4 linked regions of the Drosophila melanogaster genome follow. The gene in region 2 interacts genetically with the main gene of each other region. Each region holds a gene or a part of one and is shown on either strand. Other genes may lie near its edges. The genes, in order: SREBP, Pdha, ND-42 and Marf.

What was found.
Region 1: of Pdha (region 2) and SREBP, changing one suppresses a phenotype caused by changing the other (phenotypic suppression), as found in Drosophila melanogaster (one study listed by BioGRID).
Region 3: of Pdha (region 2) and ND-42, changing one suppresses a phenotype caused by changing the other (phenotypic suppression), as found in Drosophila melanogaster (one study listed by BioGRID).
Region 4: of Pdha (region 2) and Marf, changing one suppresses a phenotype caused by changing the other (phenotypic suppression), as found in Drosophila melanogaster (one study listed by BioGRID).

Annotation. Positions count from the first base shown.
Region 1 is NT_037436.4:19,791,013-19,800,014, reverse strand, and holds SREBP (sterol regulatory element binding protein), read right to left. Parts: upstream 6,081-9,002; 5' UTR 5,856-6,080; intron 5,792-5,855; exon of another isoform or gene 5,690-5,791; intron 5,452-5,689; 5' UTR 5,316-5,451; intron 5,117-5,315; exon of another isoform or gene 5,114-5,116; 5' UTR 5,106-5,113; coding exon 3,623-5,105; intron 3,563-3,622; coding exon 2,757-3,562; intron 2,688-2,756; coding exon 2,296-2,687; intron 2,236-2,295; coding exon 2,109-2,235; intron 2,055-2,108; exon of another isoform or gene 1,956-2,054; intron 1,883-1,955; coding exon 1,715-1,882; intron 1,642-1,714; coding exon 1,276-1,641; 3' UTR 1,036-1,275; downstream 1-1,035. Other genes in the region: CG14102 (uncharacterized protein), read left to right, coding at 1-195, 256-366; Ir76a (ionotropic receptor 76a), read right to left, coding at 390-631, 683-737.
Region 2 is NC_004354.4:4,699,536-4,706,334, reverse strand, and holds Pdha (pyruvate dehydrogenase E1 alpha subunit), read right to left. Parts: upstream 4,011-6,799; 5' UTR 3,804-4,010; coding exon 3,744-3,803; exon of another isoform or gene 3,644-3,743; coding exon 3,443-3,643; intron 2,781-3,442; coding exon 2,216-2,780; intron 2,141-2,215; coding exon 1,818-2,140; intron 1,748-1,817; coding exon 1,565-1,747; 3' UTR 1,070-1,564; downstream 1-1,069. Other genes in the region: CG7024 (uncharacterized protein), read right to left, coding at 1-330, 649-771.
Region 3 is NT_033777.3:22,024,922-22,030,598, reverse strand, and holds ND-42 (NADH dehydrogenase (ubiquinone) 42 kDa subunit), read right to left. Parts: upstream 2,891-5,677; 5' UTR 2,579-2,890; coding exon 1,451-2,578; intron 1,384-1,450; coding exon 1,288-1,383; 3' UTR 1,206-1,287; downstream 1-1,205. Other genes in the region: CG13409 (uncharacterized protein), read left to right, coding at 16-293, 351-453, 520-893; Cchl (cytochrome c heme lyase), read left to right, coding at 3,562-4,151, 4,209-4,464; CG6028 (uncharacterized protein), read left to right, coding at 5,195-5,459, 5,546-5,673. UniProt on the Drosophila melanogaster protein: Accessory subunit of the mitochondrial membrane respiratory chain NADH dehydrogenase (Complex I), that is believed not to be involved in catalysis. Complex I functions in the transfer of electrons from NADH to the respiratory chain.
Region 4 is NC_004354.4:6,363,102-6,372,055, reverse strand, and holds Marf (mitochondrial assembly regulatory factor), read right to left. Parts: upstream 6,108-8,954; 5' UTR 5,824-6,107; intron 5,424-5,823; 5' UTR 5,200-5,423; coding exon 4,893-5,199; intron 4,698-4,892; coding exon 4,408-4,697; intron 4,338-4,407; coding exon 3,999-4,337; intron 3,725-3,998; coding exon 3,713-3,724; intron 3,531-3,712; coding exon 2,604-3,530; intron 2,535-2,603; coding exon 2,364-2,534; intron 2,264-2,363; coding exon 2,067-2,263; intron 1,998-2,066; coding exon 1,796-1,997; 3' UTR 1,132-1,795; downstream 1-1,131. Other genes in the region: PpV (protein phosphatase V), read left to right, coding at 1-327; swa (swallow), read left to right, coding at 6,460-6,730, 6,912-7,751, 7,840-8,375. UniProt on the Drosophila melanogaster protein: Mitochondrial outer membrane GTPase that mediates mitochondrial clustering and fusion.

The sequences.
Region 1 (9,002 bases), on a different chromosome or scaffold from region 2:
AACCCAAGTCGCCAACTTATGTTGCTAGTACAAAATTGCTATAACCTAAATCATCTGAGATTGGGAAAACATTGGAAGATGCCTATCGAGGATGTAAATCAATTTTTGGACAATGTGGCTGATGCAGGAGCGGATCGGAAAGACCGGCTTTTGCTAACGCTCGATTTCATTAAGACACCGGATACTCGGAAAAAGGTATAATTTAATGGATACACAATTATTTGGAACAACCAAAATTTACCAAAAACCCTTCAGTTCACAGATAAGTTCAGGAATGATAAACACTTGCAAGTGAGTTTTGATGGAGCCACATGTCATCACTGTCAGCGGGATACCTACTCTAAGTGTGATACTATCTTTGACTAGTTTTACTTTAGCAAAAGACTCACCTCACAGTGCGACCTTTCGATGGCAACAGTCAGTCTAAGAGTCCAATCGTTGTAGGGGATTCCCTTCCCCTCGAACTCATCCTCCTTTATTTTGTAATCATAAACATCTTGATCGGAACGATTGGCCCATCTGTGCCAGTCCATGATTATTAATGGCATTGGATGAACCGTTTCCAGACGAAAATCAAACGCCGGGTGCCAAAAAATACAAGTGGCATGCGAGTCCGCGAAGAACTGCTGAGCTAACTATATTTTTTAAAAGGTTGTCCATGCTGAACAAAAGGACAACATACCAAAAAAACTAAGCACAGTGCTAAAGTAATATGACTCTACCAGCAAGTTTTCCATTTCACAGATTTTTTCCCTTGAAGTGTGCCTGAGGAATTTATATTATTTTCTGTGTGTATTATTATTATACATATACATTCTGTTTTTGTATATATATATATAGTGCTTGGTAGCTCACCCTGTGATGCACCCGACTAACAAAACTCCGCCGACGCAAAATGACCGACGCGAATGGAAGAATATTTCATTTTATATAAGGAAAAAGATTGCATACGCTACTAATACGTTTTCCATGAATTATGTACATATTTAACAAATTAGGAGCATGCACCGGTAACCAATAAAAGGCCTTGTAAATCTGTTAAAATATTTATTGTTATAAATACGTTTAACAAGTACGGTAAATAATAAACAAATAAAATGTCCATATTAAATAATTTTAAAATTACAATCTAAGCATAACCGGGCGTGGAAAACAGAGGAATAGCGTAATTATAAAGACCTAGGCATTTGTAATTCTTTTGAATAGCAAACGGGTATTCATTTGCTGAAAATCCACACCACGTTCGTGCCACTTATTATGTACTTCACTACTATCCTAAGCCTTCACGCTGCCAATGCCGTTGCCCAGCGACTTCATCAGCTGGTAGCACTCCTTGAGCTTTCGCTTGTCGCCCACCTTCTCCAGGGTCTTGGCCGCCTCGGCTAACATGCCAGCACGTTCACCCGGGGAGCTGAGCAGCGCAGGCGGGAGATACTTGCAGGCCACGTACATGGCCGAAGCCCGTTCCCGCTCTCCGCCCACGAAGTTCTGCTGCCGCCGATCCTTGCTGCCGCAGAAGATGGACGAGTGGGCGTTGCGTGATCGCAGACTCCTGTCCAAGAGCTGTTGCGTTGGACACGGTGAGGCTCCAGCCATCAGGCGACAAACTGCCTCGTACAAATATATGCGCGATTGGGCGTTCTGTAATGGCAAAAGTTTACACAAGCTCAGGTTACGGAACAGACATATTGGAAGGGTAAGGATTTGCATATACCGGTATATTCTCCACAATGTTGCGCAACGAGTTCAAATCGGTCTGGAACTTCTCGAGCACTTCACCTGGCACTTGGTAGAAGCCATCGTCCTCCATATTCATGTGTTCCAGTTCCCACAGAGCAGTCCTAGTTTCGAGCAGCCAATCGCAGGTAAGCAACTGGAAAAGCTGCATAGAAGAAATAATGATTAGTGCGCTCTTAAAACTTGGCGACTTTTGCCAGAGACATTCGGCGTTGTATGTGAAATGCACAGAGCTTGCACTGAAGTTGTATTGCCTGAAGCAATTGGGACAGACAATGCGACTACAATGCACCTTCGTGTCATCTCCAGAGGAAGAGTCTGGTGGCACTCAGTCGCCAAAAACTGATTGTTCGGGGTGCACACATTCTTACCAGCTTTATACCCTTGGCGTCGGTGATCCGGTTGACAGTCAAGCACTCTTGGAGCTCCACACTCGACTCATCGCAGAGGATGTTTACCAATTGCTTGAGACTTTTGTCCAGTGCGTTGCCATTGTTTCTGCAAAGGTGTGCGATGATTAGTTTTGTTCTTTTCATTAGTTGTTCTAGTTTTACTCACTTTAGTAAGATCATCTTAGCTCGCAGCACAGCATGCAGCGCCTTGGGCAGATGATCGTTTTCGCCGCACTGTTGCAGCTGCGTGGGCATTTGCTTGATCCTGCCGTACAATTGCTCGGCCAGCGTGTCTTCACCAAGGAGCCAGTGCACTGCGGTCTCCAAAACATCGGCCCACCACACCACGTTTGTATCCCGCTCATCCTCATCAGCCCAGAGAGTGTCCTTAAGGAGGGACGTGTACTTAAGAACATTGCTGACAATGGTGCCGCTGTGCTGCTGTTGCTGCAACTGTTCCGCCTCTCCGCTGACAGAAGATGTGGGCAGGCCTCCCGATTTGTGGCCCGCTCCTACCAGACACTGAATGGCTTTAAACAGCAAATGCTCTCGATATTGCTGATTATTGGAAAAGAAACAATTAGTTTTGAATTGTGTGCGATACACTAGAAATTCAGTCCAACTTACCTTAATGACGTGGGCAGCGGGATCACATGGATTCCTAAGACGTGTGAAGAATCCATCCTGCTCGCCGGAGTCGCTCAGATCGTACGTGAAGACGTGCGTGGCGCAGTAGCGATATCCATAGGCTGTGAATGCCCAACGTAGCTCCTGCGTTTGCTCGGTGGCCCTAGTGAGACCGCACTCTTGACGAGCCCGGCTCATGTAGTATCGGGCGAAGAGCTGTTGCAACCATTTTGGGGCACTGCGCTTCATTCGCAACGCTGTCATTACGTGGATGCAGATGGTCTCGCGCGGTGTCAGTAGATTGTGCGCCACTTCAGCCATGTTGCTTGCGAATAGTGCCATCATAATGCCGTTCATGTCACCGCGGCTTCCATTTCCAGTCAGTTGCAATTGATTCAGTCGGTTGAAGAGCAGGGCCAGTTCGCGTGCAGATGCCAGCGCCTGTTTCCTGCTGGCGGCGTTGCTAAACAGCCCACCGGACCGCCGTGACAGCACCCGACCCAGCCAGAGGCGATGGAAAAGAAAACGAAGGAACTGCCACGTGGTCTGCAAGTAACACTCCAAGCGCGACGCCGGTAGACTTAATCCAAACATATGCAGACAGTTGAGGTAACCGGCGTAGGCCTGAGACGACTGTCCTTGGCTAAAATAGAAGTCAGCCCGCTGCCTGTGCTGGCAGTAGGCGTCCGTTTGCGCGTCCAGCTGCGGATCACCGTAAACCAGCAATTTCACCAAGCATCCAAGCATCAGTGTGAAGTTCAATAGCCATATCCAGGAACTCTGCTGCCAGACAGCAAAACCTTCACCTAAATCAAGGAGAAACCCATTAGCAATATTTAACAACATCTGGATGCTAGGCTAGCTACCTTCCACGTCGTAAGAGAGAATGCGTCTTTGACCGCTCATGTCGCCAAGATCGTCATTACTGTCATAGTGGCCGCGCTGGAGAAAGGTCTTGAAGGGATTGACGGCCAGGATGGCGAACATAAACATGCAGAGTCCGAGGCGAGAGTGGGTGGCCATGCCGCGCATAGAGCTGGGCACCACCAGTGGTTCTTCATTGCTGCTGCTGCTGCCACTGCTACAGCTGGCGGTGGATCCACCATAGGGTGATGGCGGCAACGAGATGTCCGAGTGCATGGGCGAGAGCGAAGGATCCGATTCATCGCTGCGTGGCGGCGTCAGTCCGGCATCCGTGGTAAAGGTCTGCGAGCTCTCGCGGCGCTTCTTGGATGCTCTACCAGGCCGAGTGCCCAGCTGAAGTAAATCCTTCACCTTGGAGCCGTCGCGTGCCATTAGCTCCCTCTGCAGGCGCTGCAACTCTGCCTTCAGATCGTGATTCTGGCGTTGCAGATCCCGAATCTTGTCTATGGATTTCCGCAACACTGCGGACTTGTTCAGCTTGGCCTGCTCTCCCACTACCAAGTTCTTCAACTCGTTAATCTTGTCGTTGATTGAGGTGCGATAGCGCCGCTCGATGGCGTTGTGGGCCGAGCGCTTTACTTCCTTCACCTTGGGTTGAACCCGGTTGATAGGTACCTTGCCCTGGACTTCCATAGCGGCAGGTGACGGAGCCAGTGGTGCCACTCGCACCTTGCTGGCCCGACTACCTGTGCTTGTCGGTGGTGGAGCCACAGGTGGAGATGGGGTTGGACTGGCTACCGTGGGCTGCAAGAGGAAGTACATGGCTTCATCGGAAGTCATTCCGGCCTTAGAGTTGTACGTAATGAAGGGTTGCGGATACGACTGCTGGGGCAAAGGAGCAGAAGCGGGAGCAGGAGTTGCAGCAACGGGCTGCATGACATTGACATTCTGGTTCGCAGACTCCACCGGCGACGTGGGCGGGGACATGGACTGGTAGACAAAGCTACTGCCCAGAGATGGGGGATACACCGCCGTGTTCGGCGGCATCCGCTGGGCGTCCATGTGATGTATGGTGGCTGTTGGTTGGGCGGCCTTCAAAAGGCCCGTCGGCTGTTGCTGGGGACAATTGTAGCTTGTGGCTATGAGGGGATCTGGTTTGTAGACGAGAAGCGGCGACTGTTGTTGCTGCTGATGCAGTTCCTCCTTGATGTGCACTGGCGAAGAGTGCTCGCTTTTCACGTGCGGCTGTTGCTCGACGGATTGCGGCTGCTGATCCACGGACTGCGTCTGCTGGGTATGCGTTCGAGGCTCGTCCAGCAGCATGTTGTACATCTGCGTCGGCGCCAGGTCCATGTCGTTGAGGATGATGTCCAGCATGTCCGAGTGCAGGTCGGCGTCGAACGGTTCGAAGACATCCTCCGCTTTGAACAAATCCATGGACTCGTCCAGCGGAGCGTCTATTAAGTTCATCAGTGTCGTGTCCATTGCGAATGCTGCTGATGAAAGGGACAAAAACGGTTCGTAATTAAATACTGGCGGGCCCACGTATGTGCATATTTATGTATGTATGTTTGTACATTTGAGGATTGTTTATTAAAGTTCTATGCGGCGCAATAACAACAGTGGGACAAGTATGTTGGTGCCGGAAAAAACAAATATTAATATGTTTATAATCACATTAATTCATTTAATTACCCTTTTTCCACAGTGGCCACTTGCAGCTTTAATAACAGATTAAAAGGGGTTTTTATAATTAAATTTGTAATATACGTAACAAAGTTAAAATAAATCTTTTAATTGTACTCAAACCTAAAGTGAATCACAGTCGGACCTGAAAATGGCATATGTGTTAACTTGTTTTTGTTTGTTTGTTGTTTGCTCGTAGTTAAAATAGGAACAAAATATAATATCTTGAGATCATTTTGGCTATATCAAGTTTTGCTAGACTAATGCAAATTGCAATAGAGGCGAATATTTTTAAACGGTCTAAGCTTTTACTTCGCTTTTGGCCCACTGTGCACTGCACACACACATACGCGACCGGGAAAGCATGCGTAAGCGCTTTCAACCAATCAGAGGGCTCGACCGGATCATACGATGTTTTTAGTGACGCCACTTGGCCTTTGGGAGCTCCAACAGGGCATTTTCCCAGGCTCCACTGGTTTCCCGATCTGATTTCCGCGAAAATTAATCTATTAGACACTATCTACATTATTAGCAGAAAAAGAAACGCACCTTTACCACCTTCTATCTGTTTTCTTAGTTCACGTGTGCTTTTGTTTTTCCATAACTGGTTAATGTCAACGCACTTTGCTTTAAACTAGCGACTAGTTAGTAATAGTTGCAACACTTGTTGTTCATGGTTGTTTTGATTTTTTTCACGAGTATATTTGCAGCTTAATAAACAATTGCTTTCGATTGCAGTAAACTTTGTTCTTCAGGGATGACGAGCAGTAGTTCGGGCCTAAGGAACTGGTTCAGGTCTTGACTCCCTGGCATCAAGAAACAGCTGTATTACTTACAATGCCTGTATAGAAATATATATATTTAATAGTTTATGATGTATTTTATAAAACTGCCATAAAATATCAACGCTGATTCTGACACGCAGAGTAAGGAAATAAATTCAACATGTATAAGTGTAATTTAAAATATGCGGTTGTCCTCGCTGAGCGTGGTGGATGTCACCGCTACCTACATTCAAGAGAATAATTAAGAGAGCGCCAGAGCCGTGTGACCGCGCTAGAATTACTTAAAAATACCAAGGAATGTTGAAGACAAAAAGTTCCGGTAAATTGGCACAACGCACTGGCCACACTGCTACATCACATATTCAAAATCGGGTAGGTAGTCGCGACGGAAAACGGGAAACGCGGACGAATCGCGGAGCCAGAGAAGCGGTAAATTCGAAATAACCGTTTGGAAAGAGCAACATGATGAGGTTCTTTATTCGTTTTTAGTAAAATGGTACAAAGTGAATATGTGATTTAATTGATAACCAGCATGGGCGCCGTCAGTGTTAATTGCGTTCTGAATTGCTCTTTCGAAAACGCAGACACAAATGCACACACACAAAGTAGCGGCACCCACACGATCGCAATGGCAAAAGTGCTGCAGTGATAAAACAAATGCACAGCCATAAAGGCAAAGTCGGAAAAGTTTCACAATGCACTGGCGGCCCATGCATAAAAATGTACAATTTGGCGCTCTTTGCACTTGTCACGTCGTTGGAAAAGCAAAAAAACCTACCAACCAACAACAATAGGAACATAAACTGAAACAAAAAGAAAACCATTTTTGCTTCGCGCTTTTGTTTTTGTTTGGACCGCCGCTCACGCACTTTCGCGCTCACACGCAGAAACTTTTTGCATTTGTTTTCTTCACCCGTTGCATTATCACAACAACTGATCTCCTCTGCCCTCTCTCTGATGCTCTTGCTCACACTTGTTCGCTCTGTCTCGCCAGGGTTGCCATTTTCGACCGACAAACTTGCACTTGCTACTATGAATAACCTTTAAAACGGTTTTATTTTGGCACAATCTTAGGATTTATTTACGATTTTTGCGATTTACCGCATTTGCTGTCTGCAACAGTTTACATTTTTGTTTACCTTTACGGTCGCCAATTGGAAATACTAACTGCAAATTTGGTTGCCTTAAGTGTAGGTGTATTGTTTTCAATATAGACGAAGCTTATTTATATCAAATGCCTATTATTTAAATTAAACTGAAAACATTCAACCAACGGTCATCAGGAAAAGTATCTTAAGAGGACTATTTCACTACTAAATCCTATTTTTTATATTTCTACTTCACCTTAGCTTATCAAAATCTTTATAAATCCGATTGTATGTATGATGCAGCATAATTTTATTATTCTCGGTAATATATGGATATGCTTCAAATCCAAATATACAGACTTTATTTATTCAATAAATTAGTTTAACCTAATGTTAAACTAAATATAAAATAACTAAAATTAGTTTAACCTAATGTTAAACTAAATATATTACCGAACGCTGTGATTATGACTCTGTTATTTACCAACTGTCTTGCAACTTGGAAATATTCCTGTATTAATCATTTCCTATTTTCCTTGATACAAAAGAGCCTTTATTTCACTGCAATATTGAGTCATCCAACAAGCTGTTGTTGTAGATTTGGTCCGATTTTTCTATTTCTTCTTCTGACTGTTCTCATACTCTCTGTGCTTCTGTTTCTCCGGCTTTCTGCATAAATTACATTTTCCGTTTGGACTTTGCCAGTTTTGCTAGTGTTAGCACCTCCTTGGCGAAAAGTTTCCAACGGAAATTGTCAGCAGAAAATGAAAAACTCCCATGTAAATACTCCGCAAACGCACACACGCACGAGCTCAGCGGAATACACACCAATACACACGCACACACTAGCAGCGGCAGCGCTTAATAAAGATTAACGCATTTCTTATCAAGCGGTGATAGCGGGCAAAGAAGATGGAGAGAGCCGAAGCGAGACAGAGCACTAGCACTGCGACAGCATTTGAGCTTCGCTTTTCGCACACCCGATAGAGCGGCATAGAGTGGGAAAGGGATGGAGACAGAAGGAGACAGTGATATCTTTTCTCTGCCTGATTAGCAGTAGCAGCGTCTAGTTTTTCTCGTGTTATTTATTTGTTTTCTGCTCTCCGCCGCCGCTCCCGTTGCCTCTCCCTCACAGCAGCCGCCTTCGAACGCCGACGCTGCCTGCTTTATTTTCGCGCCGCTGCTGATAAAATAAAGAACAATATTAATTTAAGTTTAAAAATAGAATTCGCTGCAGATGCCCATTGCATGAATGTGTGCGAGCGGGAGAACGAGAGAACTGATTTCGCTCTCCCGCTCTCTTACAGCACACACATGTTGATCCGCAGCGGCAGCGTCAATTACTGTTCTCATATCATCTCCGAGAGCACGGAAATCAGTGATGGCAAGTGAGAGGAGCAAATCTTTGGCGGATAGCAAAAACCGCTAAGTGTGTGGCAGTCAACGCTACTTTTCTTAGTATAGTACTTAGTTATACCTTTTATCGTGCAATTTTTAAATGAGGACTATGTTTTTCCAAAATGTATCTGCTCAATATAATTTGACTATTTATCTTTTAATCCATTTAAACCTAGTTTTAAAAATTTTAAAAAAGTGTTGATAATATATCTTGATGGATATCTTTCGGATATCCTACACTGAGCGAAACTAAAATTGTTTGATAAAGCGTCCTCATATGCCTACCTTAACACAGTGAAAAAAGCCAAAGTGCCATCTCTGGGAGCATGCGGTGTCGCTCGCCCGATTTTCGTTTGGGGCTTTCAGTATTATTCTATTCTCCTGCGCCCCAAGTTGTTTTTTCGGATCGGCAAAGCCGCGTGCGC
Region 2 (6,799 bases):
TTTGCCCCGGCTGCATCCAGTTCGAACTCCGAACAATTCCGCCATTATTTCGTAAAGGGAAACACCCATTAAATAGGTCCAGGCATGACAACGGTATGCCGTTATGACCGAGTCGCAGGACCTCAAACGCTGCTTCATGCCAACAGCGACGGCCTCCTGTCCGTTATATAAATGGCAGAAGCCGCGGATTTTTCGCTCCTTATAGTAGTTGCCCGCCACCGTCTCGAACCGGCGCAGTTCCAGCATCTGCGTGTACATCGTCAGGGCGTCCTCCCTGGACAGCTCCACGTCCATTGTGGGTCCATTCTCCAGGTCGTAGCACTTGAACGTCTGCAACGGGCATAACAAAATCATTAAAGTAACCCATTTCGGAATGCTGCTCTAGTAGGAACGCAAGAAGAATCTATGTGTTGTGCAGCACTGAAAAATATCAGCAGCTTATGTCTATATTCAGTGTTGGTCTACGCGATGAGCAGATTAAGTCGTTTCTATGTTAGATTTATATCAGCTATACTTAACAGCAAATATTTAAACATTTTTCAGAGTACATAATTTAATTCAAAATGAAAAATATAACTTTTACGATATAGCTTTTTTCAATGGTATTTACTTATCCATTGACCTTCTTGTGATAATCAAAACACTTACGTTCTCCAGGGTCAAACAGCTACATTTGTGGCGCCCTATTATCCTGCAGAGCATATTTCTCTCGAGGATGGAGTGGGCTCCACTGCATCTCATCGCCACGCGGACACAACTGAACTTCATCATTGGCCCTTGCCCGAATACCAATTCCCAAACACCGGGGCACTAAAATGAGCTTGTAGCCAAATGGGCAATTGCCACGCACTAAAATTTTGAATATGATCGGAAATTGTTGAAAAATGGATTTGTACTCAACCGAAAAGAAATCGACAGTAAAATCATAAGCAAATCGACAGAGATGGCAACTGTCACTAAACAGAACGAGAAGGAAATATAACGATTTTGGGATTGCTTATGGAGCTGACAACTGCTCCTTTTCAAATACTACTTTGATTCGAACTGTAATTCTTCCACAAATCGAATTATCTATTAAATCTATTCCGTTTATTAATATCTTATAAATCTATCAAAATTCTATAGTGCAAGTATAGGTGAAACAGACTGAGATTTTCACATTTCAAAAGTACATACTTGATTCACTTTTGTTAAGAAAACTAATTTGGATTAATTTTTCTAGATTTTTATATTTTCAACAATTTACACCTCGCTTTATCCTTATTGAACACGTTCGCAATATAATATCCAATGCAGTACCCCAGAGTTATGTGGTGCGCTACGATGTGTGGTTGGAGTGCTCCGATTAGCTAAGCTTTTTGTGGGTCTCTTCGGATCCGTTCCGTTCTACGGGGTTCTCATCGTTCAACTTTCGGCTTATGATCTAGAGATTTCGCTTGTGTCCAAGTTTCTGAGTTATTGTGTCTTCTTGTCTGTCTGTCAGTGATTTGTGTTTGCTGTTCGGTTTTCTTGTTTCGTTTAAGGTTCTTGTGAGTTCCCGAATCAGATTCGTTGGCCCGATGACTTAGTGATTGACGCCCTTGCGCTCCTGGATGTGATCAATATCGTAGGCGATGGTGCCGCGCAGCTTGGGCTCCAGATTGTTGGAGTACACGTCCGTCCAGAGGTGGCTCACGCCCAGCTCGGCATCGGACTTGGCGAAGGCGGTGGCCTCGTCGACCTCCTTGCGTACCTTCAGATCGATGGCCTGGAAGATGTTTTTTTCTTTTAGCAATCATAACTCATAACAAAAATAAAACCCTATAAGCCAAACCCACCTTAACTTCATCGGTGGTAATCAGACCCAGCTCGATGCACAGCTCCTTGAAGGAGGTGATGGGATCACGCTTCTGGCGCACCTCCTGGATCTCCTCGCGTGTGCGGTACGATGTGCCCGGATCGGACATGGAGTGTCCAGAGTATCGGTACGTGTTCGTCTCCATCACCAAAGGTCCGTGAGTGTTCACATAGTTGATGGCGAACTCGGTGGCGCTGCGCACGGCCAGCACATCCATGCCGTCCACCCAGATTCCGGGCAGAGCGTCGCCGCGGGTATAGTAATCAGTGTTGCAGGAAGCACGCTCAGAACTGGTGCCCATTCCTAATGGGTATAATTATACAACATTTGGTTTAAGTAAATATCTTTTAGCATTGTTCCACTTTCTACAGCACTCACCGTAGTTGTTGTTCTCGCAGACAAAGATCACAGGCAGTTTCCACAGGTAGGCCATGTTGTAAGCCTCGAACACCTGTCCTTGATTGGCGGCACCATCACCGTAGAGGGCCAGGCACATGCCGCCATTGCCCTTGTACTTGCAGGCCAAGCCAACGCCGGCACCCAAAGGAACTTGAGCACCCACGATGCCATTGCCTCCGTAGAAGTTCGGTGCGTACATGTGCATGGAGCCACCCTTGCCGCGGGCACAGCCACCCTGGACACCGGTGAGCTCAGCCAGTACGCCGCTGGGTGAGACGCCCATCAGGTAGGTCCATCCGTGGACACGGTACGCCGAGATGATGTTGTCCACATCCCGCATCGCCGCCTTCATGCCAACGGCGCATGCCTCCTGGCCGGAATACAGATGACAGAAGCCGCGAATGATCTTCTCCTTGTACAGATTACCGGCGGCCGTCTCCAACCGACGGATCGTCTGCATCTGTGTGTAGTACTTGAGGGCCTGATCCTTGGTCAGCTTCACTTCCGTGGCGGGTCCTTCGTCCAGGCGGTGCAGCTTGAAGGGCTGCAAAGTTGGAAAGCATATTTAGAATTTAGATCCCTAAACTTCATTAATTTTAAAAACGTTTTCTACTTTTACATTAACAACTGACACACACATCTGATAAGAACGTAACGGAAACGTTTGGAACGCATGATAAGTAATAAAATGATAGCAGTTTGATTGGATAAACCAAATAACCATAGGCTTCAAGCTTCTCTAATCAAAGTATACTAATCTATAGAGAGCTATAACCACATATCGAGGATTTTCGGAAGTATGCTCCAAAAACCAAATTTGGATTTATGGCGGCTAATTTATGGCGTGAGAATCGACGTAAACAGAGAGCCAGACAGACAGACGGAGAGAAAGAGAGAGAGGGTGAAAATCGGCGGATCGTTGATAAGACTATATGTTATATGGTGCGTGAACAGTCACGCGTCGGCCACGCAAAAGGCAGACGGTGATAAAGAGCGTGGGAGACGGAAAACTACAAATTACTGCGTGACCTTGTCATTTGAAAATGAGCGGATTGACCGGCAAAATGCAACCCTGCACTTACACACACACACACACACACGCAAACCGTTTGCTATCTGGCGAAAATCGCATTATGTAACCGTATTTTTTCCCTTCCGACTTTTGAATTTTCCTGAGTTACAAGTACTTAATGCTATAATACGCACCCGATTCACTTGAACGGTGGCCTCCGTGGCATAATTGTTGGTTTTCGAAACACCTGCTTGGGCTGCATTCTGGAATAAACCGAAAAACGACGATGAATATCTCCCATTCCTGATGATATCGATGCTGCTGTTGTTGTTGTTGTTGCTAAGTATCCGACATCCGCTGATGATGATGTTGTTGTTGTTGTTGTTATGGCAACGCTTTTAGTGTTTTCATTATCGAATGGATTTGTTCAATTGCATTTTTAGTGACAACAATTAGAAATGTTAGTGGGTGCAAAGCGGGATTGGGATTACGTACTTTTTGCAGTTGCTTAACAATAATGGGCAATTCGCTAACGCGTGACAGAGTACGCAACATTTTCGCTGTGTTATTCTCGTTCGACTGACAGAAATTGGATGTGAATGGGGGCTTTCTATATGCGGATTGTCCGGATCTAGAATCGCACGCTATATATCTGGTGTCTCAGTCGCACCGCCGCGCGTCGTTGTAAGTTAAACAATCGGAAAAAAAGGTAGCGAGATTAGTTTATCAACTACTATATTGCACAACTATAACAACCGTTTGGCGTTATAGCGAAAAATAACGCACCACTTGGCCTATTAGTGTGACCCTAAATAAAATACTGCAGCTTTCCCTGTTTTCAAAAAATACTAAATTAGCTTATCGAACTTTCTTTTTCAATATAACTTGAAATATAAATGTTTACGTAAAATATTCAATAAGCTTTTATATAATGTGTCACACAATGTTATATCAAAATAATAGTAGTGTTTGGCGGTTATTGAAATACTCGAATAAATACTTACTCAATCACATTTTATATTACTTTGCCGCCCAAATAAAACGAGGGTTTTCAAAGAAGTACTTTTATTTCACATTGAAGATCTCATTTGGTTTTTGTTTGCTTTCTCATTTCTTACTCGTATTGTTACTTGAAATTGCCTCCATAAATCCACATTTGCGATTGCAGTTGCAATTGCAATACTGCTCTATATCGCACTCAGCTCACATAATTCACTAATCTCTTACAAAAACTTAAGTAATGTTTGTTCCTTGCACAAAAAACCAGTTAAATAGAAATAGGTAAAGTAGAATTAAACAGTTAAATTCAAATAAACGCTTTACAAACTAAGATTTTAAACTAGTTTTTGTATTTGTTGGTTTCTCGGTTTGTTGTTTCATTTTTTTTTTTTTGCTTTAGAAATGGCAGCTAAAAGATTTGAGTTTAAAAGTTACTAACGGAAAATGAGGAAATGGATCGATCGTTTGGGAAAAACTAAGCGAATGAAATAAATTTTTTACTTTCTTTTATCTATCTTTTGCTCTGTTACCGTTACACATATTCAATTTTTCGCGCGTTTTTCTGTTACATCAAAAATTGGTTTCTCACACAAATATTTTGCATTATGACAAAAAATTATGCTTTGCTTTGTTTTTTGTTTTGTTTCATATGTATACATGTACATGTATATATATATATATTTGTATGTATAAACACTTATTAGAAGTCCTGTTGTGTTTTTGTTTCCTTTCCCGTTAGAAATCCGGCATTCCGATTATAAGAAAAAAATTTAGTTTTTCTCTTCGTCTTCTTGTTTTTGCGAGTGCTTGTGTGTGTGTAAGTGGGGGAGGTGTGTGTGTGTGTGGGTGAGAGAGAGAGAGGAGGTTCTATCTTACCGTTAGCATAAATAGTTTTGTGTCTACGCAAAAACGTGCTGAGCAATAATCTAAAACGCAATAGCTAAAGAGAGAGAGGTGCTGTATGTGTGTGAAAAGTAACGGTAAATGTGTGTGATTTCTGCATATGTCTTCTGTTGTTTTCAGGAAATTACGTATTAAGCTTCTTATTTTTTTTGGTTGTTTTTAGTAGGTTTTACTTAGGTTCTTGCTTAATTTACACCAATGTTTACTTTATTTTGTATTTCTTGCATGAATATATATATTTACTTTTTGGTTTCCTTGTTTCTTATTACTGTTCGCTTTCATTCCTTGAAATTTGCCTTTAAATTGTTACTGTTCTTCTGTTTTATATAACATAAATCCGATTCGGAGAAACACATAGCACACACTTATATAAACGACAAGATGATAATTATTTATTTTGTCTTTGCTTTTGCTTTCGACTTTCTCCGCCTTTTTGTTTTATTACTGCTTGCACACCACCCTCATGACCTCCCTAACCTGGTTTTGACCTAGAAAGTCTTAGTTTTAAAATTCATTAGAATAATCAAATAAATAATAATTACTATGTTATATCAACTATTATAATTCTCCCTATCTTTTTTAGGATTAAAAATCTGTTAGTCTTAAGTAACCAAGACACATTGTAAAATAAAATAATTTAAGCAGATCAAATTAAGTTGCCGCATGGGTAACAGTGCGTTGATCAAATAATAAAAACATCATCGATAAAAAAAAAAAAAAAAAAAAAAAAAAAACTGCTTGCAGTTTCTACAAAAATTTTTGTTGCATACTTTGCTGCTGTGGATGGACAATACATATACACATACACATAATATTTGATTTGCGTGTAATTTGTTGCTGCTATGGTTTTATTGCAATGGTTTCATGTTCTTGCTGGCTTGCCGTTGTTTGGCAAAATCCAGGCAAAGGAGTAAATAAAGGTTTAGAGGGGGCGGGGGGATGGCTTGGTTGGGAGGTGGGAAAAATCCATGTCCAAACACGCACCGATTTGGTTTGCTCGTAAGCAATGAATAATACATTGTTTAAGCACACAGAAAGAAATTAGCAATCACTTGTAATATCCTTTGCAAACAATCCAACAAAATTTGACAACCTTATTAACCTGTCATCCGATAGTTTGAATCATTTATAATAGCTATATTGCAAGATAAATTGTTATTTTGCAATATTTCATCATATAATATATTCAGAAAACATTTTCGGTACGAAAAACCTAACAAATGCAATTTTAAACTGCGTTTTTTTTTTTGACAATTTAAAAAACCGAAGTTATGGAATACCATTGTTTTTTTTTTTTTTGGGAAAAGCATGCCAATGAGATATTTTTCTCTGTGTACCCATTAGGTGTGCAGAGAGCGTCTGTGTGTGTGAGTGAGTATGGTGTGTATGCAAATTTCACATTATACTATTTTTTTTTATATACTTTCTGCTTGGTTTCCGATTACAAGTGTTGAGAGTTCAATACACATAAATAATCCATCCGACAGAAAAATATGTGAGTTTTCCTTACAATTTTGTTAAATATTAAGTTTTTCTTTTTATTTTACTCGTTCGGTTGTAGTGGTGGTTGTTGCCTGTGCTATGTGTCCGTGTGTGTGTGTGTTTGTGTGTGTGTGTGTGTGTGTGTGTGTGTGTGTGTGTGTGTGTGT
Region 3 (5,677 bases), on a different chromosome or scaffold from region 2:
ATCTTCTACGCACAGATCCCTTCTTCCCGCTGATATTCCTGATGAACTCCTGGCTGCCTGGAATGCTGGACGCCATTCTGCAAGCGACGTTCCTTTGTGCTCTACTCATGTTTTGGCTGTGCATCTACCATGGACTGCGACAGAACGAGCGCAGCTTCGTGCGATTTTACCTGGTCAAGGTGATCGTCGTCCTGCCCATTTGGCTGTGCGCCATCGTTTTGGCCACGTGGGAGAAATGCAACGAGCTGAGGGATCCCACATACAGTCACTTTGTGGATACGAAAAACTACAATGTGGGTATACATAATACGTACTAATGAAATGTGATACGAAAACCAAACCATTCTTAGGGCTTCAAGATGTTCTTCTACATCGCCTGCTGCATGTATGTGCTCTATCTGGTGCTGTTGCTACTGCGGGCGTACACCGAGCTGCGCTCCATGCCGTACTTTGGTGAGACATAATGCAGTGTGCTCCAAGCCTGATCTTATTATTATAATGCTTAATCCATTTGGCCAGATATGCGCTTGAAGTTTCTCACGCTGCTCATGCTGTTCGTCCTGTCCATATCCATCACGGTGACGACGTGTCGCTTTGGCTTCGGCATCCTGGAGGATAACTTTGTCGCCTCACTTAACACCACCTATCGCAGTTCGGCGCAGTTTATGTGCTTCTACGGACTGCTTAACTTTTACCTGTACACCATGGCGTATGTGTACTCGCCAGATGGACGGTTCGCCCAGGCGGAGCTGGCTGTCACCAAGGATAATCCGGCTATTTCCATGATCGACGATTCCGACGAGGATGTTGTCTACGGTTCCGACGAGGAGTCACGGCGACCGCTCACCTCTGTGGGCGGCGGTGCTGGAAAGAACGATTACGACAGCGATTGATCGGCGATTAAGAAGTATCCGCGGCAGAACGAATACCCAAATGTTCCATAGCGCAATTGAAGTTTTAGTGCTAAATGTGTACAAAGTATTCCCTAATATAATGCATAAATTAACTTAAAATTTCAAAAAATTAATCTCTGGTTGATCAATGAAACTGGAGAGGATCGAAATATGTTTGGGTATTCATGATTAAGCTGAATTCGAAATTTATGTTAAAAAAAAAGTATAAATAAACCCAATAGTTCGAGTTTTGTTGTATGAAAAGTATTTACAATCGATATTTACCATATTCGCTTTTTAACTAATTGGGTTCTGATTATTTTACTAGACTGTTTATTAGATAATTAACACATTTCGCCAGGTGATTTCAACTCGAAAGCATAGCAAAAACCCTCTAGATGCCCTGGTTGATGCCTATTTTCGTCTTGGTGAGGAGACCCTCGTCGCCCATGTCTGCATTGTAGCCAGGACGGTACTTCATGCCGGGAGCCTGTGTGCAAAGGGGCAGAATTAATGTGAAAAGAAATCGAACAGGGAAATGGAAACACCGAACTTACATTGAACCAGACATCACGCCAGACTTTGCCGTCGTCAGCGCTGCGCACCAGCTCCGGGACATCGAAACGCGGCACATTGAAGTAATTCATCAGATCGGGCTTCTCATGGCAGTACTTGATACGGGCTTCGCACCACTCGGCCTCCAGCGGGAAACGCCAGTCGAGCATCTTCTTGTTGTGAATATCGGCCTCAAACTGGTTGAAGTCGATGCGTTCGATATCCTCCACCACAACCTCAGTCTCACCGCCGGCTGTCCAGTCGTAGATGAGCAGCTCGGCATGGGTGGAGATGTCCTTGAGGTACTGCTGCTTGTACAGCTGCTCCAAATCGCTCAAGTAGGCATCGCTGAACACCTTTGACTGCACCTCGTAGTCCACATTGCGTGCCTTGATCTGCTTCTTCACGGCATCGACCGGCAGATCCAAGTAGATAACCAAATGCGGCTTCAGCAGCTCCCCGATGGTGTTCTGTCGGAGCTCATTATACACGGAACGCGCACCGCGTGACAGATAACCCTGCCGAAACATGGCCTCCATGAAGACAAAGTCCGAGTAGGGGCTGCGCTCGAGGACAACACCCTGGCCGGTGCTAAGGACGTGCTGCAGGGCATCAATGTACTGCGAATAGCGCAGCATGTACATGCGAATCTGGAACTGGGCAGCCAGATCGTGGCTGGGATCCAGGCAGAAGTTGCGCACATCGTAGCTTCGGCAGCTGGGCGGCAACTGAGGATCCAACTTCCTCATGTCATAGCCGTACGAATTGATGTAGATTAGGTCCAGATCAACTGCCGGATAGTACTCCATGTCCAGCTCCTCAGCCAGTTCCTTGGCGAACTTTGACTTGCCGGCCGCGATGGGTCCCTCCACACAGATCACCTTGGAGTTCTCGTCAAAACGCTTGGAGGTCTTGTCGAAAATAGCATTGAACACGCTGTACTTCTTCGTCTTGTACGGATAGGGGGCGGCCTTGGGCACCCGTGGTCCACCTCGCATCGTCTTGCCGGAGATGCTGCATCGCTGCTGGAAGGCAGCAGGCAGGGCATTCGTCTGCGCCTGGAGTAGATTGGGCGACTGTGTGGCGCGGCTGACGAGCCGCACCAGTCCTACGCGGAACACGGCGGTCATTCTGAAGGGAAAACAAGGGTCAGTACAAAAACGAAACAAGATAATAACAATTATATCTCGTCCAGTGGCAATTTGTCGTGTGGTTACATCACAGGAGCTACGCAGGTAGTGCGGTAATCTCTGCCCTAGAACTGCAGATATGCGGATCTTTTCGTTGCATTCTGCTGGCCAGCATTGCGGCGCTCCATAGATTTACCCAAATTGTCGGTTTTAATGCTCTATCCGGTGGTATTTACTCACTTTTCAATCTAAATATCGGAAGTCTACCCAAAAACAAATTTCGGGCTATGGTTGGTGTTGGAAAACTCCCCGAATAGGGCTGTCAAGGTATCCGTTCAAATATCAAAAATGTAAAATCAAAATGTTTGTCTATGCTTTAACTGCGACTTTTCTCAGAATCAGAAAGAATTTCATATGAAATGAAATTTAACCCAGTATTTTAAAAACTTTATATAACACTTACAAAATAACATTTTAATGTATAAATGTATTTGTTTTACTTTTTAAAAATATCGCAAAGCGACTGCTCAACACTACACAGCACAGCTGGGGTGTTTAACTACAAGTTAATTTACTTGAAATAAATTCAACAATGCTTTTCATTTGTAGACAGACACACACCATAAACTCACATTGCCGTGCGGTGCGAGTTGATTTTTTAAATTTTTAACTTAACATATTGTCACGGTGCAGAAACAACTGGTCCACTTTCCGTTGGTCTGGCAGCCCTGACCACAACCTCGCTGCATTTTGGGCTCAAAAGTTCTAACGATGAACTAACGAAAATATAAATCAAAATTTAAGGCGAAAGGCTCCAGGAGAAGATCGACAAATATCGAGAGTTGTGACCATTAGGATCGAGTAAGTCCTGGCGTTGGGGCCCAGCACTGGGAGTGTAACCCACTCCTTACAGTTACGCAACTGAGAACTAATGCGATTTTCCTCGTGACACAGATTTTGTTATTAACCAATCCCCAGCAGAAATGGGCAATACAGCCATCACCCGAGTGCAAATGGAGGCCACGAAGAGTGTGCCGGTGGACCACGCCAAGTACATGAGCGGCAGTGGTGCCCCGCCACCAGAATGCCCCATGCATCAGAAGCATGGAGATGCAAAATCGGCCTCCGCCGTACCCCCACATCCCAAGATGCAGGCCGCTTCCGAATGTCCGGTGCAGCACGACAACAGCGACGTTAATCCGCTGAATATGATGCCACCGGCAAACCAACAGCCGGCGGCAGATCAGCCCTTTCCACTGCCCACCGACCGCCAGACGTCGACCATTCCCAAAGTCACCGAGGATGGCAGCGTTCAATTCTGGCAGTATCCCAGCCAACAGATGTTCTGGAACGCCATGCTACGCAAGGGCTGGCGCTGGAAGACCGAGGACGTATCGCAAAAGGACATGGGCGACATCATACGCATCCACAATGCCAACAACGAGCAGGCCTGGCAGGAGGTACTTAAGTGGGAGGCGCTTCACGCCAAGGAATGCGGCAATCCGCGCCTCAAGAGTTTCGGTGGCAAGGCCAAGGACTTCAGTCCGCGCGCTCGATTCCGCAGCTGGCTGGGGTGAGTATACTCCAGACGGAAGATCTCACCTGAATTAATGTTCGAATTGTCTTACAGATACGAGCTGCCATTCGATAGGCATGACTGGATAGTCGATCGCTGCGGCAAGGATGTGCGCTACGTCATCGACTACTACGACGGTGGACTGGTGGACAAAGACTACCGCTTTGCCCTGCTGGATGTGCGCCCAGCCATGGACTCCGTGGACAACGTTTGGGACAGAATGCGCGTAGCTTACATGCGCTGGAAGTACGAGCTGTTTGAGAAGTTTGGCAGCGCGGATGGCGGCAAAGTGACCGCTGGTAGCGACTAGATGGAATGCATATTTAGATGATCGCTATAGGTACAAAATCGGCTTAAGTTATCGAATGGATGGAAGAGGGAGTTTGGTTAAATGCGTTTAAGACGCTGCGAAGCGAAACGATGTTGAGCCCTCTCTTTAAATAAATGTTGAATCTTGACTTCTGAACACCAAAATTCGAATGTGGTTTTGCTTTTTATTTTATTCTTTACTTAAATCCTTTTAAGGATTTCGAATTATCCAGTAACGAGTTGATAGCATTGTGGAGGAATATATTAATTAAAGTTTTTTTTTATTGATATACTTATGTATATGCAGAATTCTCATCTGTTCAAAATGCCTGTAAAAATTTTTTTTCTTAATCTTTAGTTTTATATTTTATTTATATGCTCTTTAAAATGATTGCGAAATTATAAAAATACGTTTACTACTTTTTTATCATTACTACAAATTTAAAAAATGTATAGTAAATAGAATATAACTTTAGACGTTTCTTAACTTTTTTAACATACATTTTCTGATAAAAAGTTGATATGCAACCCATAACATTATATGTATGTTTATATGTATGATGCTTTTCTAACACCTGCGGCTTCAGGGGGTTAATGTCTGGCAGTGTTGAAAAGCGCGTGTAAATTCTTTAACTGATTGCTGGTGCCCTCATTACGTGAGATTCGAGTTTGGCCACTGGAGCGTTAATTGGATAGCCGCGATAGATTCGTTCGACGTAAATCAGTCATAAATGCAAGCTGCCAGAATGAGGTTCGTTCAATACCTGCGAAAAGGTGACTTGGCCAAGCGACTTGGTCTACTGTCCGAGGATCAAAAGTCGCTGGTGGAATTTGCCGGCTTGGAGGGTGTGCCCAGCGATCTAAAGATCCTGATTGCCCAGGATCCCAATCTGGAGGAACTGGCGAAGAAGGCCGAAAAGCAGCCGCGACTCGAGGTGAATGATGATGTCACTTTGCTGCCGCCTCTTACCGATCCCGGCAAGATCATCTGCATTGGTAAAGAATGAATTAACATACATATGTATAAACATATGTAGTTGGACCCTGACCTTCAAAATGACGTATTCTCGATCTGCTTGCAGGTCTGAACTACCAGGACCACTGCGATGAGCAGAACAAGCCGACCCCCAAGGAACCATTGTTCTTTAGCAAGTTTAACAATGCCCTGGTGGGTCCTCAAGATAATGTCATCGCTCATGCGGCCAGCAGCGTAA
Region 4 (8,954 bases), 1.7 Mb from region 2:
GATCCCGAGGACATGGAGTACTGGGGCCAGAGTCCGCGCGGCGCTGGCTGGCTGTTTGGCCACAATGTGACCAAGGACTTTATGGCGATCAATAATCTGAACCTCATATGCCGAGCACATCAGCTGGTCAACGAGGGCATCAAGTATATGTTTGATGGCAAACTGGTGACCGTGTGGTCGGCGCCAAACTATTGCTATCGCTGCGGCAACGTTGCCGCCATTCTTAGCTTCGAAACGGCGGAGAAGCGGCAGACGAAGATCTTCCTGGCTGTTCCGGATGCGGAGCGTGTGATACCCAAGCAGAACACAACGCCCTACTTCCTGTAAAACGTTCTGATGTGATGCGATGTGAAGTGATGCAACGCAATACTATACCACATACCATACCACATACCGATCCAATACGATCCGCCCACTGTTCCGGCATCGTGGCTAATAATCATATACGCTTGTGGAGAGCAGAGCGGAGTGCAGCCTTCGACTGACTGATCCGTTTCATTTGACCACCCATGAACTCAACGCCTTAAACTCAAAACGTGCGCAACGAGCACCCCAAGCATAGCAAACACTCAGAACAGCAAACACAAGCCACACACACCACACACACACCTGTAACTTGTAATTTTCGTCTCTTTTTTTGTATGGCAAAAACACATATCTAATTCTTAAGAGCACAGTTAAAAAAAAACTTTGTTATTAGTTTCCGGCAAGTCCAAAGAGAGGGGAACACGTGAATTGATTTCTTTAAGTTGTATATCCAAGTATTGTATTTACTGATAACGGATGCTAATGGAAGCAAGAAGTATATAGAGATTCACTTTGTTATTTTGTATTCCAAACCTACATATTTATTTCTGTGAACAAACACAAAAATCATATACTTTGTACATTTTGTATTAGTAATGCTTTGAAGGAAATAAGAATAACTAAGAATAACCCAATTGTGTGATCCCGATCAAAACGATATGATTAAAACAAAAAAGACAATTCGAAATGCGTTGTCCGGTAATCAGTGGGAAAAACCAGGTGTCCCTTATTCCGCTCCCAAAATGTCCATCATCCGTCTCTGTCGTTTTCGCGACACGGCTCCGATATTCAAAGTTCCACTGAAATAATTTCGATTATGAGTTTCTTACATAAATATCATTTATTTCGTTTCGTTTTCGTTCATGAATCATTCTCATTCTCATGCTTTGCAACATCTCAACAATTGTGTTTTCATATATATTGGTTTGCTTTGCCCCAACATTTATTCTAGCGTCCCAACTCAAAAACAAATATGTATAAGTACTAGACTTTCTATTAGGGGCGAAAAAGAGGTAAATAAGTGAGTGACTTTCGCATTCTGGGGTCGGTCATCATCATGTGGCATTCATAATTCCTCGCAACTTGCTTTTCCATGGCACCTGGCCATGCTCACAGTGTTTTGGATACTTCTCTATTTGTATATATATATACGCGTGCGTTTCCGGGTCAACAATTACAAAAAAAAGAAAACTAAATAATCACACTAGCAGAGTAGTGCATGTTAGGAATTAAAAGAATTCTCAACAACAACAACGATTTGTTTAAACGATAGAGAATAAAGAGGTTCCAATCGATTGGCTCATATCATGCATTTTCTTACAAAAAAAATAAAATAAAAGAGGAGAGAAAAACTGAGAGTTGAGCAGCAAATACGTGGTGCATTAATGTTGTTGTAGTCGTTTGGGTGTTTGTCTTCGCCTGATTTCTATGATCATCCACATTCTGGTTAGTGTTTTGCCCCACGGTCAGCCAACCCACTACTGTTCCACTACTGCGGCGATATATAGTTGTGCTCGAAGATGTCCAGCTCGTTCTGTATGTAGTTGGCCTTGTTGCGAAGCAGCTTCAATTGCTTCTGGTTCGCCTCCAGGATGTTCAGCTGCGAGTCCAGCGTCTTGAGCTCATCATTCATGTCCGTGGTGGCGGTATCAACCGTGCGGCACAAACGGGCAAAGGTGCTCGACAATTCCCTGTTGAGATGTGACAGAGAATATTCGATAAGTGATCAGCGATTCAGACGCTAAGGGATCAATACTCACTGCTGCACTTGGTGGCTGCAGTTGGCCGAGGTGAGGTCGACAATCATCTTGAGCTTCTTGGTGGCATGGCGCACGTACTGCGACTTGAACGTTCGCTCCTTGGCTGAATTTGTCCACGAGAGGCGCTCGTACAGGTAGATGCAGCCGTAGAGGGCACCCACGCCCACCAGGACACGCCAGCCGATAGTTTTCAGCATCTGCAAGTGGTTTGATTTCATCACATAGCTATGCACTATCACCTGCTTGGTCGTTGGTAAGGACAAGAGGTGTTATGATAATTTAACCGTTAACACTTACGACACCGGCTACGACGAGACCACCAACGGTGCCCTGCGATCCAATGGAGGACACCGCGAAGCGTGAGATCAACGACAGCTGCTCGGGCGTAATGCCAGCCACAACGGGAGCGGGCAGCAGGCACACAGGAGTGGCTTCCACGGGCGTCGTGGTCGGCGTCGATACGCTGTGCTGTGAACGAGATTCGATGGCAGAGATATAGTAAAGGTGGTGCAACACAACTATACTGTAGAAACTCACTCCAATACTGCTCTGTCGATTGACCAGCGCCGGCTGGCCCTTCTTGCTGCGCTCGCGCACCTTGCCGGTGAAGCGCTGGATCATCGCCGCAATGCCCCAGCTGAACTTAAACTCCAGATCCTCCTGGAAGTCGGCGCAGAGGTTCTGGCAATTCAGTGAGTAGAGCATCTCGAAGGGCTGCGTGCGCACCACCATCTTGGTGCTGGTGGCCAGGAGCTGCTCGTTGGGCACCAGGGCGTGCATGCGATCGGTCATCTCCGTCTGGGCGGACTCGACGTTCATGGCCAGGGCCATGGATAGGCGGGCGCGCAGATTGCTGCCCAGGCCGCTCTCCACATGGGCATTCAATTCCTTTTTGTAGATGTTCAGCACCAAACGCTCCGGATGGAAGGGCATATTGAACTCGTCAATGAGTACGCCCAGGCGCCAGATCTCCTCGTTCAGCGCCTTTGACACCTTCTCCTCCACCTCCTCGACCATGTTGTGGATCTTCATCTTCATTTCCCGCGTAACCTGCATCATCTGCGTCTCTGTGCCCTGGATGCGTTCGGTGAGCAGGTTCTTCTGGTCCTGCTTCAGATTGCGGAATATGGTGATCCGCTCGTAAATGTTGTCCAACATTGATTTCATGTCACCCGAAACACTCTTGCCGCGCGAACTGTGCTGCTGGAACTTTGTTTTCACAGCACTCTGCGAGATGCACTCCTCGAACTTGCGCTCGAAGTCCTGGAACTCGAAGTAGCGTATCTGAAAGCCCTCGGCAATGGCACCCATGTGCGGCGGATTGCCCTTGGCCTCCTCGATGCGCGCCTGCAGCGTTTCCCTGGCGGAAACGAAGAATACCCTTTCGGCCGCCTCCTTCTCGTTGCTCACCTTTAGCTCCTTGGTGAGGAAGTCGATGCAGCGTTCCGTGTGCTGAGACTTAACCTATCAATTGATGAAATAAGCGTCTTAGAAAGTGCATAGATCAATCAATCAGGGCAACTAAGTAAGCTGCTTTGGGAAGAGTCAACAAGGAGGTGTTCATCGGTTCAATTCGATAAAGAGACCAAAGCAGAGTGGATTGGGTTTTTGTGGGACCAAGCAAGCGGGTCTAGCTCATTCATTACCTTAGCCAATTCCTGGCGTTGATTACAGTGGATAGTTGGTTGGTTGTTTGATAGATTGATTGGTTGGTTGGGTAATAAACAAAAACAAAAGACACACATCAACATAGAGAGACAACAGGCATACGAAGAGGTCCAAGAAATTACTTATGAGATGTGGCAGTGCAAAACTGCTGGCAAACGAACATATGTACACATATGTGGCATATGGTTCGCCTGCCATGTAATGGTAATGCAGGGTCTGACAGAGATTGTGGACTAACTAAAGGGGCCGCCTAGAAGATCATACCGATTCCTGGCACTCGGGCTCGTTGGCCGACGCATCCCAGCGATTGTTCAGGATGAAGATGTTCGGCTTGCTTAGCTTCTGCGAGACGGTGTGAAAGAACTGCTTCTCCGCACGCGTCATCGTTGACTCGGCATTCAGGACCAGCACAAAGACATCGGCGTTCAGGCAATGGTTATCGATCCAGTCGTCCAAATTGGCCGACACATCCACACCAGGTGAGTCCACAAAGACGACATCGTCGCGCAGCAGGCTGCAGCGTTCCCTCGGCCAAAAGATGCGCACCAAACTGCTCTCGCAGAGCTTCTCCTGGCACAAGGCATTCGCCAGTTGTTTGATGTTCTGCAAACAAGGGTCACTAGGTCATTAGGCGAAACACATTTCCCAGAGGAGAGCTGAGTAGCCCACTTACCACCACATTTAGCTTCTCCTCGGAGCCCTCTGTCATAAGATACGCCTCGCCGCCATTGCTGCCCTCCACTTGGCAGAAGCAATTCGTGGTGTGCCCAATGCCGCTGGGCAGGATCTTCTCGCGCAACATGGCATTAATCACCGAGCTCTTGCCGTTGGAGGTGCGTCCAAAGAAGGCCACCTTCATGTGATCCCGCTGCAGTACTTCGCGAATGGCCGCCACCTTGTACACATAGCTTTCGAACAGCTCCCGTTCCGCCTTGTCCACGATCTCCGCTTCCGCGTGCAGGGCTGAAAGAGCAACGAACATTGGTTTAACTGGGTATTTCGCCAAAGGCAATAGATGTTAGATAAGAATCAAAATTTCACCATTTCCCTTGTAAAACGATGAACTGAATCATAATCGTTCTTATCGAATACCATGCAACATAGAGGTTCAAGGATTGGCTTCTGTTGGGTATTTTAAAAATATAATACATAACTCACCGTTGATAAAGGTGGTCGTCTCATGGACATACTCCTCGATCTCGCCGTAGATATCGTTGATCTTCTTTTTGGCGCGCACAAAGATCTGGAGCGGTGATTTGTCGTTGGATTGATAGAGCCGCGATTCCGGTAGCAGATTGGCGGCCATTGTGGAGCCGGATTGTTGCAGCGATGAGTTGAACCGGGATAGCGGGGAACCGGGTCCGGATTTGTCCACCGTGTCCGTGGAGGAGGCGTGACGGTCGTCGTCGGCGGGGCCCGTTTGCCCGGTCACCATCGAGATGGTGCGGTTCAAGTAGGCCGCCATTTCGGGATCCGGTTTATGGTTGATTCGGTTTAGCAGATGGTTTTTTGGTAGAAGAAGAGAATTGCGATACAAAACAAAAGGTATGCAGCCCAGGGGATTTGGTTGTTCAGACTTCCAACTTCTGCAACTTCGCCGCCAACCCGAAACTCAAAACTTAACTATCTCTGTTTATTGTGTGTTATATTGCTTTTGGGGGTATTTGCTCAAAAATCAACGTCATAAAACTGAAACGAAATTAAATGAAAAATTATGACACGAAAGAAAAAACAAAACGATTGAATACAGTGCGCACCAGATAAGCTCAACTTGAGTGGTTTAAGTGTTAAACAAAATGTGCGCTACAAAATCAAGCATGTGTTTGCTAAGTATATCTTAGAGAGAACATAAACTATTGATTTGTTGTTCGCTATGTCGAGAGTGCACTGTATTTGGCGAAAAGGAAAATACCGCAACGCAAATTGCACGCACACACACACACGTGGTCCAATTGCGCTGCAAACAAATATAGGCGAAAAAAGTATAATAATCTAATGTTTTTGGTTTTTCTTTTTTCTGACAATTTACATCTGTGTGCGTAAATCGAGTTGATAAAGTTTAATCTGCCCTCTCGCTCTATCAACTAACCTGATTAATGCCACTCTCGCTCATATTTGTATTTGTTTTATTTTATATTTGTATTTATTTTCCTCTCCGGTTGTTCGATTCTTTTAATTGCTGCCCCTCAGCTGATGCGTTTTCAAATGGCAAATTGTGGAAAGCGTGGTTCGAACTTCCAATAACCGTACATTGCCGACTAGAATCCAGTTGCAGAGAAGCAATTTCACGAAATTTAGTTAATATTATTAATTTTTTTTAAATGCACATGATGTAACGTTAAGGTGACCAACTCATGTTGTTCGCTGACATCCGGCGTTAGTGCATTTTTATGCCTTCCCATGTCTAGTATATTTTTATGCCAGTCGAAAGCTTAATATGGTATTTTTTCAATTCGCTGCCATATTTAATTGAAATTAATTTTTTTCAATTACTACCACCTAGCTTATTTTTATTTTTATTGTCTAATTTAAATTTTGTCTAATTTAAAAATAGAATTTACCCTGACAATGATTTTCACTGATTGGAAATGGTCACACTAGCCAGTTTCCAGTTAGCCAGAATGTAACGGCGCCTTTCCCGCTCCAATTGGAATCCGCGTGTAATTTTGTGTCTCGTGTTAATTGTATTATTTCCCCCGCTTTTCGGATTTCCGCATAAAAAGCGATGAGTCTACAGGACGAGAGTTTTCCGACGGACGAGCTGTTTGACCAGCTGAACAATTTGAGTAGCAGTGGCGCCAGGAATACCTGGTTCGCGGAGCACCATAAGCCCGCAGTCTTCGAGCGGGATACAGCGCCATTTTTGGAGATCTGCTACGCGGATCCAGACTTTGATGCGGATGGGGATGTGGCCAACAAGAGCGCCAAGACATGCGTAAGCGATCCCGTGGGTCGTGATCAGGAGGATGAGGACGACTATGATGAGGATGTCGATGGTAAGAAGTGTTCGCTCTCTCTCTACACTTGCTTAACTACAATGGGAGAAATATTCCCATCAAACATATCTCATATATGTATAATTTTGGTACTTCCATGTCTCGATGTATAATGGGTACTTCATTCAATGGGCACAGTCAATTAGCTAGTGCTAACATGTATCCTTTCTTATTCAACCAGGCGATGATCATAAACTGGGTTGCGAGAAGGCTCCATTGGGCAGCGGGCGCTCCAGCAAGGCGGTCTCTTACCAGGACATCCATTCGGCCTACACGAAGCGCCGCTTCCAGCACGTGACCAGCAAGGTGGGCCAGTACATAGCGGAGATCCAGGCGCAGGACCAAAAGAGACGCAATGTGAAGTTCGCCGGATTCCAGCGAGTGAACTCTATGCCGGAGAGTCTAACGCCCACATTGCAGCAGGTGTATGTCCATGATGGTGACTTCAAGGTGGACAAAAACTGCCAGACTCACTCCAACTCCGATTCGAATTACAATTCCAATTCAAACAACTCTAGCAGCAGCTTTGATCGATTGCTGGCCGAGAACGAGAGCCTGCAGCAAAAGATCAACTCATTGAGAGTAGAAGCGAAGCGTCTGCAGGGCTTCAACGAGTATGTCCAGGAACGACTGGACAGAAAGACAGATGATTTTGTGAAGATGAAGTGCAATTTCGAGACCCTGCGCACCGAGCTAAGCGAATGCCAGCAGAAGCTTAGGCGCCAGCAGGACAACTCACAGCACCACTTCATGTACCACATTCGATCGGCGACCAGTGCCAAGGCCACTCAAACGGATTTCCTGGTGGACACCATACCCGCCTCCGGAAACGTCCTGGTCACACCCCATCCCCTGGGCGACCTGACCTACAACAGCAGCAAAGGATCCATCGAGTTGGCACTGCTCAGTGTGGCGCCTTCTGCCCGAGTGGCCCAGAATCCCGTCCAGGTCCAACGCGCGATTCATCCACAATCTTTGGACTTTAGCAGCGTTAGCACCGAAGCTGATGGCAGCGGTAGTGGTAAGCAATCGCAATGCTATTTTATTAGATCTGTAGATTATTTCGAATAAGATTGACTAACATGGATTTTTGTTGGTTTCTATTCAAGGCGAACATCGTGTGGAAACCTCATCCAGGGCCTTGGTCAGAAGAACCCCGGCGCCCAACAACTCGGAAACCAGCCAGCCGAGCAGCAACGACTCGGCCATCGAGGTGGAGGCGCACGAGGAGGAGCGACCCAGCTCCAGGCGGCAGTGGGAACAACAGGGGGAGCTCATCTCGCCCAGGCAATGGGGCCAGCATGAGGGCATGTACTACTTTGACAAGCGCAACAACCGAGTCATCGAGGTGATGGGCTTCAATATCAGTCAGGGGCGCAATCAGAGCCATGACACCATTCATAATCAGAGCATCAACGATAGTCAGACGCGTCTGCTGGTCCACTCGATGTCGATGTCGCATTTGGAGGCGCATGACCACTTTAGGAGTAAAAGGACGACACTGGGCAGTCGGATGCTACGATTCCTGGGGCCCTGCGTTCGCTGCCGTAATGGTGATCCATTGAACCGCAGCAATGTCACATACAAGGATGGTTTGCCTGCGATGCCCGAGGAGGAGTTCGTTGACCAAAGGAACCAGCGCTAGTCCAGCCTTCCACCATCCACTTTTATTTATTTATTGTATGTATTATCATATCCTGTTATTTTATGTCGCGTTATGTCGATTCAATTAGTCCAAATTTTTAATGCCATAGCATTCAGTTAACCAATATGTGCATGTATAACCAAATTTGAAATTCGTTAGTAACTTTCCTCCAAAGGAAAATAATCTTTTTGGCGAATTGTGTAGTGAAACGTATTATTTATTTCTATCCAAGCAAATTTGTACTTGTTTTAATAAAAAAATTTTGCACACTTGCATTTATATCCGATTTGTTCGGGTTGATATATCATGTATTGAAATCATGTGAATCCCATGCAGATTCAGTTACATTGACAGTGGCTGCTTTGCGACTTCGGCCACACTGGCAGTTTCAATTACGCAGAGCTTCAGCATTCGTCACCAATGTTTCGCACCATTTCGCATTTTTGGAGATCTGCTACGCGGATCCGGACTTTGATGCGGATGTGGCCAACAAGAGCGCCAAGACATGCGTAAGCGATCCCGTGGGTCGCGATCAGGAGGATGAGGACGACTATGATGGGGATGTCGATGGTAAGAAGC